Arabidopsis thaliana: one gene and its partner. The protein of the gene in region 2 interacts with the protein of the main gene of each other region in a pairwise test. Each region holds a gene or a part of one and is shown on either strand. Other genes may lie near its edges. The genes, in order: AT5G16590 and CLE26.

What was found.
Region 1: the proteins of CLE26 (region 2) and AT5G16590 interact in a protein complementation assay, tested with the Arabidopsis thaliana proteins (one large-scale study listed by BioGRID).

The regions. Positions count from the first base shown.
Region 1 is NC_003076.8:5,429,699-5,434,953, reverse strand, and holds AT5G16590 (Leucine-rich repeat protein kinase family protein), read right to left. Parts: upstream 3,371-5,255; 5' UTR 3,093-3,370; coding exon 1,808-3,092; intron 1,719-1,807; coding exon 1,401-1,718; intron 1,308-1,400; coding exon 1,033-1,307; 3' UTR 768-1,032; downstream 1-767. UniProt on the Arabidopsis thaliana protein: Might be involved in early recognition of growth promoting fungi. Appears to be specific for P.indica.
Region 2 is NC_003070.9:26,352,458-26,356,080, forward strand, and holds CLE26 (CLAVATA3/ESR-RELATED 26), read right to left. Parts: upstream 1,800-3,623; coding exon 1,443-1,799; 3' UTR 662-1,442; downstream 1-661.

The DNA of each region.
Region 1 (5,255 bases), on a different chromosome or scaffold from region 2:
TATGATAAATTTGTGTAACTCTCAATTAATGATTACAAATTTTAACAAGAAACACCAAACATTTTAAGTGTAGATGTGGGACACCATTACAATTCCCATTGATATCGCTTAAACTTACAAACTAACCCAAAATCATCAACTAATTCTTAACTAACATTTTTTATTTACATCTCAACCGAACCAAAATAGATATGTTCTAAGTTATACATGAATGATGCACTCAACTAATTCTTTCACACATTAAGTCCGTAAATGATTTTCCGAAACCCTCTGCATATGTCTTGATCAATACAATTTATAAAGATAGTATATCTTTCTTTCTTTTTTTATTCTTAAAGAGAGTCGCTTGAAATTTACTTTAACGATTAAAGGAAAAATGAAGAAACTTTTGTTTTGATGGCTTCACCAAATTATCTGAATTTGAATTTGAAAGGTGGGGACTAACTTGACAGATTCAACTTAGAAACTTTAAATAGACCCGTTACCTAAAATTATATTTACTCCATGGAGTTTGTAATAAGTATTTAGATACTTAGTCTTAGTCACTAATACAAATAAAACTTGAAATTGAGGAAAGACAGAAAATATGTGTCGTTGACATGCATTTTATGATTGGTCGGAGAGAAGAATCAGACACAATATATCAACAAAATTTGTTTGACAACTTTTTATAATTTACCAACATATAATAATCAGGCTCCTTCTTTTTTGTTTCTGCCGTTTTATTTGCTAGTTCGTTAGAAAGAAAGAGTCAATAGTGGATAAGTTTCATGAAATAAAGTTAAAGTTACTATATTCAAATTGATGGGCCGACCAATAGAAAAGGAGAGATATAATTTGTTTCACACTCAATCAATTTGTATATAAAAAATTTCACTAAAAAAATTAAGAAACACAAAAAAAAAAAAAAAAACTTCAACGTAGATCTCTCAACTGACTTAAAGACCAAACTATATAAAGAAATTCAAATTTAGACCAAACAATTTTGAAATGATCAATTTAGACCCCATATATTGAAAAAGAAAAATACAATCAATCGGACAAAGGACCTGGTGAAGCAGGTGAACGAGAAACCTCCTCGATGAGTCTTGTGACTTCAGGCATTGTAGGACGACTATCTGGATACTGAGTCGTACAACTTATACCGATGTTTAAAAGCCTGATCATGTTCTCATTGCTGTCCGATTGATACCTTGTGAGCTCTGGATCAAACACATCTGATGGTGATTGTTGTTCAGTGATCGATGAAACCCATCTCGGTAAATCTACTCCTTCTTCGTGTAACTGCTGATGCGTTGGAGATTTCCCTGCAAATCAATACAAAAACCAATATATGAATCAACATTTTGACCAAAAATACGGTTTTCAAGATCTCTCTGTTTTTGTGTGTGTTGTTGTACCTGTGAGTAATTCAAGAATGAGAACACCGAAGCTGTAAACATCAGCCTTTTGGGAGATTTTACGAGCATCGGTTACTTCAGGAGCTCGGTAACCATCAATGCGGTTAGGTGTAGAAGTAGGGCTGATCATAGGTGCAAGACAGTAGTCAGAGACCTTAGCTTCAAAGGATTCTGACAATAGAATGTTAGATGATTTAATGTTGCCATGAGATGTTGTCGCGTCACGCGAATGGAGGTAGCTAATTGCTCTTGCGGCTCCTAATGCTATATTGGCTCTCGTTTCCCAATTCAATGGACTTCTGCCACTTCCTTTGTTCCCTACGAATTCATTCCAAAAAATTGGTTTTAAAAAATCTGTAATCACTACTAAAGAATCAAACAATAAACAGAGTTATTTATTTTGTTACCGTGTAACAGCGCAGACAAGCTTCCTCTAGACATGTATTCGAAAACAACGAGCTTTTCGTCGCGGCTGAAGTAATATGCAATCAATGTCACAAGATTGGCATGGCTTATGGATCCAAGAACCTGCAATTTCTCTCTGAACTCTTTCTCAGGAACCACGACATCTCTCAATCGTTTCACAGCCACCACTAATCCGTGATCGAAACTGGCCTTGTACGAAGATCCGAACGTTCCTTTACCAAGTACTTCCGCAGAAGCTTTCAGCAATCCATCAAGATCAAACTCGCCGAAAGATTTCACGAAAAATGTCAGATCTTTACTCACTGCAGCAGGGTTCTTTGATACACCATTTTCAGATGCACCATTAGCCACCACCGCAGGAGGACCATTCGATTCCTTAGCCACGGCTGCTGATGAGGTCGGAACAGGAGCTGCTTCGATGCTTCTCGATTGGACGACTTGCTCTTTCTTCTTCTTTCTACAGAGACAGAACACGATCAAGAAAAGCACGAGAAGCAAGACGAAACAGCCGATCACTATTCCGACAATAGCTCCGGCAGATAACTTGTCGCTTTTCCCTTTTCCTCCAGGCGTCACAGTACCGTTTCCAGTGCCATTGACAGGGCAAGCATCTAACGGCTTCCCACAGAGCAAATTGCCTAAAAAGGCGGTTTTGGGCATACCCGACAACGGATCCGGAATCGACCCGTTTAACTGATTGGATGAGACATTAAACTGTTGAAGCTTAATCTTAATCTCCGGGATTGGACCGGTGAGTTGATTATCCTGCAAGTAAAGAGTAGCTAACCGGGTTGCAGAATTGACATTATCCGGGATCCGACCCAAGAAATTATTCTGGGCGAGATTGATCCGAATAATGTTTGGTAGAGTGAAGAGAAACGAAGGAATCTCGCCGGAAAATGCGTTTCCTTGAAGATACAAGTAACGGAGAAGAGTTAGGTTTGCGAAATCCGGCGGGAGAGGACCGTTAAGAGCATTGAATCGGAATGATAAAGTTTCGAGCTTTGTAAGGTTTCCGATGGCGATTGGTAATGGACCCGATAAACCCACACCGGGTAATCGGAGTGCTGTGACACGACCCGACTCACATTGGACTCCTCCCCAAGTACACGGTGGTGCTGTTAGATTCCACAGCAATGGACGCCCATGAACACCGTCACGAAGTGCGATTAGAGCTCGTCGATCAGCTTCTAGATCTGATGTCACGGAAACGAGACATATAAAGAAGAAGAAGACTGAGAGACCTAAATTGGTCTTGTTCTTCATCTTCTTCTTACCCAAAGCTTAATCCTTTACAACAGTGAACGCCTCTCTCTCTCTCTCTGACTCGGAGATTGGTTTTTCCGAGATTTCCGACTACGTGTAGAACAGTGTTTGGAAAGAGAAAATGTCGGAAGAAAATCTTCTCACAGAAATTTCAGCTCTCTCTATCTGTCTCGACGGCTATGGGGAGATGATGAAGGAGGAGAGAGAGAGAGGCTATTAATTGCAGACTGCAGTGAATGGAAAGAAAAAGTTAATTGTTCAATTTTTTACCTTTTTAGTTTTTACAGTGAGATACAGAATCTTTTATTAATTTATTTAAATATTCCGTGCGATTATTTTTACAGCAAGAAGAAATGAGTTTGCTGTATATTCTTACATCTTTTTATTATTGTGTAATTTAGCATTTTCAGTAACAAATCATATGATTTACATATTTAAATGCTTTTGTTTCCATTTATGAAGGAATCTGGAGAGATTTGTAAGAAGTGTTATAAACATTACATAAGTAGATAAAAGATAATAATAAATACTTAATTAAAAGATACTTTAATGTGAAAATTAAACAAATACTATCCGTTTTTTTATTTTTAATGAATAATTTAAATTGTTTAGTTATGGTTTTATTATGTACGATGGAAACATGCAACTCTTGGGAAAGTATGTTATATTATTGAACGTCTCCTAAAAATGTCTGACTTAATAATACTGAACCACTACTAATTTAAATTCCTTTCGGATATGTGGAACATATTTACGTGTTAACTTTTTTTACAATATGAAATTCTTAGCTTTGTGTCTATCTAAGTCATCGGCAGAAAAAAAATGTGTTTGTACATATATAGAATAGGATTTGAGTAGTTTCAAAATTTTACTTCCTCTAAAAGTAAGAATATATTCTGTATTAAAATGGAATAACTCATATCGAAAATTTTTGGGAAGAAAATATACAAATTAGATTACCTCATTAGTATTTTAGTACTGAAGACATGATATTAAAGTAAAACAATTAGGATTTTGATGAGACCAACGTTTTTATTTCGGCCCAAACTATAATTGATATTCAGTTAAGAGTACATTGTAGAAAGTAAGCCCATTATTATTATTGATTACGGCCCATAAAATAGGCTTATACAAGAATGGGTTCTTAAATCAAACTATATATTTGAAGCCCCTTTTATTTCATGGGACAACAATATCAGTCTACTCTACTACTACTAGCATTTTTCTTTATTTGACGAAAGAGTATAGTACTTAACTAGCATAAATTGACGTTACCAAGTTTTTAAATGGTTCTTCTTATGTCATGCAAAAAACAATTTCGTAATGTATGCTTTTTTCCCACTTTCCATTCATATAATGATAAAATTTTATGAATTCATATTTTCCGTGTGAGCATTGTTCTGTGATGTTACTTTGCGTTTGCGTATTACCAATCATATTACACAATATCCCGTCGGTCCAACTTGTTATTACAATTACAAAACATACAAGTTGGGACTATATGATAAGAAATTAAGAAGATTAGGACTCTCCCACCAATGAAAATAAAGAGCTTTCGAAATTTTACAACAAGAAAGGCAAAAATAGTGACATATATACAAAATAGCCCAGAGTCACGGGAACATAATGACCCACCAAACAATTGTAATAATTGGCTGTTATCACAAACTTAATATTGTAGTACCTATCAAAATTCTAATTGGGTGGTGCGAATACAATAATAGCTCACAGACAGTTATGATATTTGGTTTAGTTCAAATTTTTTTTCGTTAAAGTATTATAAGATTCAAAGCTTTTTAGTCCTACTATATTATTTGGGAAATACATTTTAAATATAATCTTAATTTTTGTAAGTAATTACATAGGTATGCCATTAGAAATAAAATTTTAAAGAGTAAATTAATGTATCTCTTTAAGGATTAAAAAGTCAAATACTAATTTAATTAATTAAATTTAATTTAAAAACGAAATATATTATTAATTTTCAAAAATAATAACCAATCAAAATCAACATATAAGATTTGATATCTAAATTTTAATTAATTTGATTTAATTAGAAAAATGAAATACATTATTAATTTCCAAAAAAGTAACCAATTAAAATCAACAAATTAGATTTGATATCTAAATTATTGTATTAATTTTTTATTAATTTTTTATTAA
Region 2 (3,623 bases):
AACACACTTGTGCGCGCTCTCTCTAAAATACCATGTTATTTTGTCTGCCAAATCTGAATTGAATTAGCATGTTATTTAGAACAACATAGGGTACTGCTATTTGATAAGAAAGCATGTTAGTAATAAAATAGTACCCATTTTGTGTTTTTGCACATAAAAGGAGTACACAATTATTTACCTAACTTAATAAATGTTAATGATCATTTAGTGCAAGTACCCAATAAACAATGTGAGTAAGGAAATAAAGCATCTAAACGTTATTTGATGATGGATCAAATTAGAAATAATCCCAATATAAGTCGTGCAATGCGTGAGAAAACAGGATTGCATTGCATGTACGTATACTTCTTTTCTTTCTTGAAATCCTTTTAATAATCAGTGTCTTCATTTTTTTAAAACCTCCCCTAACTAGCTCAATATTTCTTCACTATAGGAACAAAACAAACATTTAAAAAAAAAAAAAACAGAATTGTAGGGTCACAAATATTTTGCGCATATTTAAAAGATTCGATCCCAAATGAAAGGAAAAGAGAATCTAGCAGCAATACAAGACCTATATTAATTTGCCAACAATTATACTTCTCTCTCTCTTTCTGCTTCTTACCCAAGCTTTAACCGTACTTATGCTCTTCCTGGTGGTCGTCTTGAATTCCCTGCTCTCCTGTATTAAGACAGAACATAGAGTTACTTAATCCAAGTCATGTTTTCTTGTTTTTCTTTACTTTCGTATAAACGATAACAAATCATACAACATTAATTCATTAATTGATATTTTAGTGATTTAGTCAATAGACTACTTTAATACGATCTACATGGAATTAACTGTGATCATAAGTGGGTTACCTATATAACTAAGAAAAAAAAGGGAGTGTTCAAAGGGCTAAAGCTTCCATAAAGGAAAAAAGAAAGTTTTTAAAAGAAGCCATCTTATAGTGAATAATTAAAAATAGATTGTTAAACGTAAAGACTGAATAAAGCTAGCAGACAGCCTTTTGCGAGCTTCTGTGATATGTCTCACCGAATCTGAGTTAGTTAAAAGAAACAAAGTGTTTGTTTTTTTAGTAAAATTGTGCTAGAAGTATATTTATGGTGACCCGAAACAAAACTTATTATAACATGCATAAACATATAGACAATCAACGAGTTAGCTTGCTTGATTTCATCTAATATAGTCATTTCTAGATGTCATTCATTAATCTCAATATCGAATTTATATCTAGACCATACTAAGAGCATGTCCTTGGTAAAAACCACATGTTAAACAACACCATGGTCGAAATGCAAGTGACCAAGTGGTCCACGCGTATAATTTGAACATAACGGAATCTAATATGGGGTTGTAGAGAATTTTAGGCTTATAGCCCTTGAACTTAGACCTAACTAATATGAATGTGGCACCACACACGGGTTTATGTCATATATTATTATATATTAATGAAATATCATACAGAAACATCCAAGACACATATATGCAGGTAGGGGTAAGGATTAGTTAAAAGTGATAAAATAAAACGAGAAAGTAGTAAGAACCTGTTGTGTATAGGATCAGGTCCACGAGGCACTTTTCTTTTGCTTGCTACGTAGCTAAGATCGTCGTTCCTTGAACCATCTTCAAGCTCTTGTTGTATTTCCTTGGCATCGGAGTTGTTCATGTTCACAGCTGTAGTAATCTCTTTTGTTTTGTCGTCCTCCTTGTTGTTTTGTAATACAAACGCATCGATCATAAGAAGAGTGACTACACCAACAGTAAATAGTGTACGGAACCACAATTGGAGACGAAGGGAATGGTTATTTCGCATGGTTTCTAGCCTTTGTGGATATGTTTTTATCCTATCTTCGTTGGTTGGTTGAAATAAAGACAGATATGAACATCGATCGAAGTAGTAGGGTTTATATTCGATTTTCTTGAATGGAAACTATAATAGAGAACAAAGATGAGTGACAACAAAAGCAAGAGAAAGAGAGGGAGATGGAGAGAGAGAGAGAAAGAAAGAGAGTCTTATCACTTTGTTGAGTTAGGATGGTTGGTGTTCTTTATATGTTCGATGGTTTTTATTCTGTTCAATATGTTTTACAAACTTTACTCGAAACATTATAGGATAGAGAGAGAGAGAGAGAGAAATTATTTTCTGCTATGAATCTTTATATATTTCTGTGAGATTTTATAACTAGTGTTATCTTTAAGCATGAATCCGTATTTTTATGTCGCCTCATTATATCCCAAATAATATAAATATATATAGCAGGGATAATTATATACATTAAACGCAATATTCTCTTTTTGTTTTTTTGTTAAGGACCAAAAATATGAGAAAAGAGAGACAATGAAATATGGAACAGCTGGTCCGAAACGTGACATGAAGGGAATTTATTTACCAGCCTTCACTTTATATATATCAAATGTGTATTTCCATGCAGATTTACTTAATCACTAAAATTAATGTACTCATATGATATTAGATTATTAGAAGTACACGTGACAAAGGGTTCCCTCTAGTACTTTTCTCACGTACAATTCATCTCTTTCGTATCCAAAAAGTAAAGCTAAGCACATAACCATTCCATGCATACCTAATTTATAACCATATTTTATAAACATAAACAGTTATCGTCACGTATTCTCACAAATTTCTATATCTATAATAACTAATTGTATACGCATGTCCTTATGTCGAATTTGGCACAATACATAATATATAGTATCTACCTAGTTCCGATCAAGCTTATTATATTCCTCACCGTTTTATTTTTTAATGTATTTAGTAGTCTAGTACCATTTATAATAAAATAGATCATTATAAGAGCTCCCCTATGCAAAACATCGAATAATATATGTTGATCTGTCGAGATATTAGCAATCTTGTACATTAACAAAACATATTAATTATGCGTTAATAACATTAGCCATTCTTTATGTATCTTAAGATTTGCACATTTTAAAGTTTTCAGAAATAAAGATGAGAATGACAAGATTGACTAGACCCATGATTAAAAATTGTTCCTTAGGAATAATGTTTTATATCACTGTCACATAGCAGCCATAATTTATCCCATAGTTTATATAAATATAGGGCCAATGAAGCATAAGTGCATAATTCATCTCATCGATCAAATTTGTTAAGATTTTACATGAATCCCACTTCAAAATAAATTACCTTTCCTAAAAAAGTTAAATGTATATTTGTCCTGAGAATCTTATGCCTTTGTGTGTTACTCACTAGCTTCTAGTCGAAGTAACTGAAAAAATGGCACTTACATATTCATTTTATCATTAACGAGATTAAAATACTAAAAAAAAGGTAACTTTGTAAACAATCTCCATTGCTAACGTGGTGACCACTCCCGTCTATAAGAATCCTTCGGGTCTCTATTTTTATGCAGGCTTCAACATTGCCCAACGAGAAAATTTGCTCGAAGAATTTACAAGAGTTGTTGATTACTATACGTTATATAATCTATTTCTATCATCGCTCGCAATTTACATATAATTACTTTTAAATTTAACGATAAACTGTATGCTGAAGATACGTTTTTTATAAACTAAATCAACTTTTTACAACCGTTTTTACATGCAACGTCACTTGTTGGATTTGGTTTAATACTTCTACTCACTGCAAATTAGT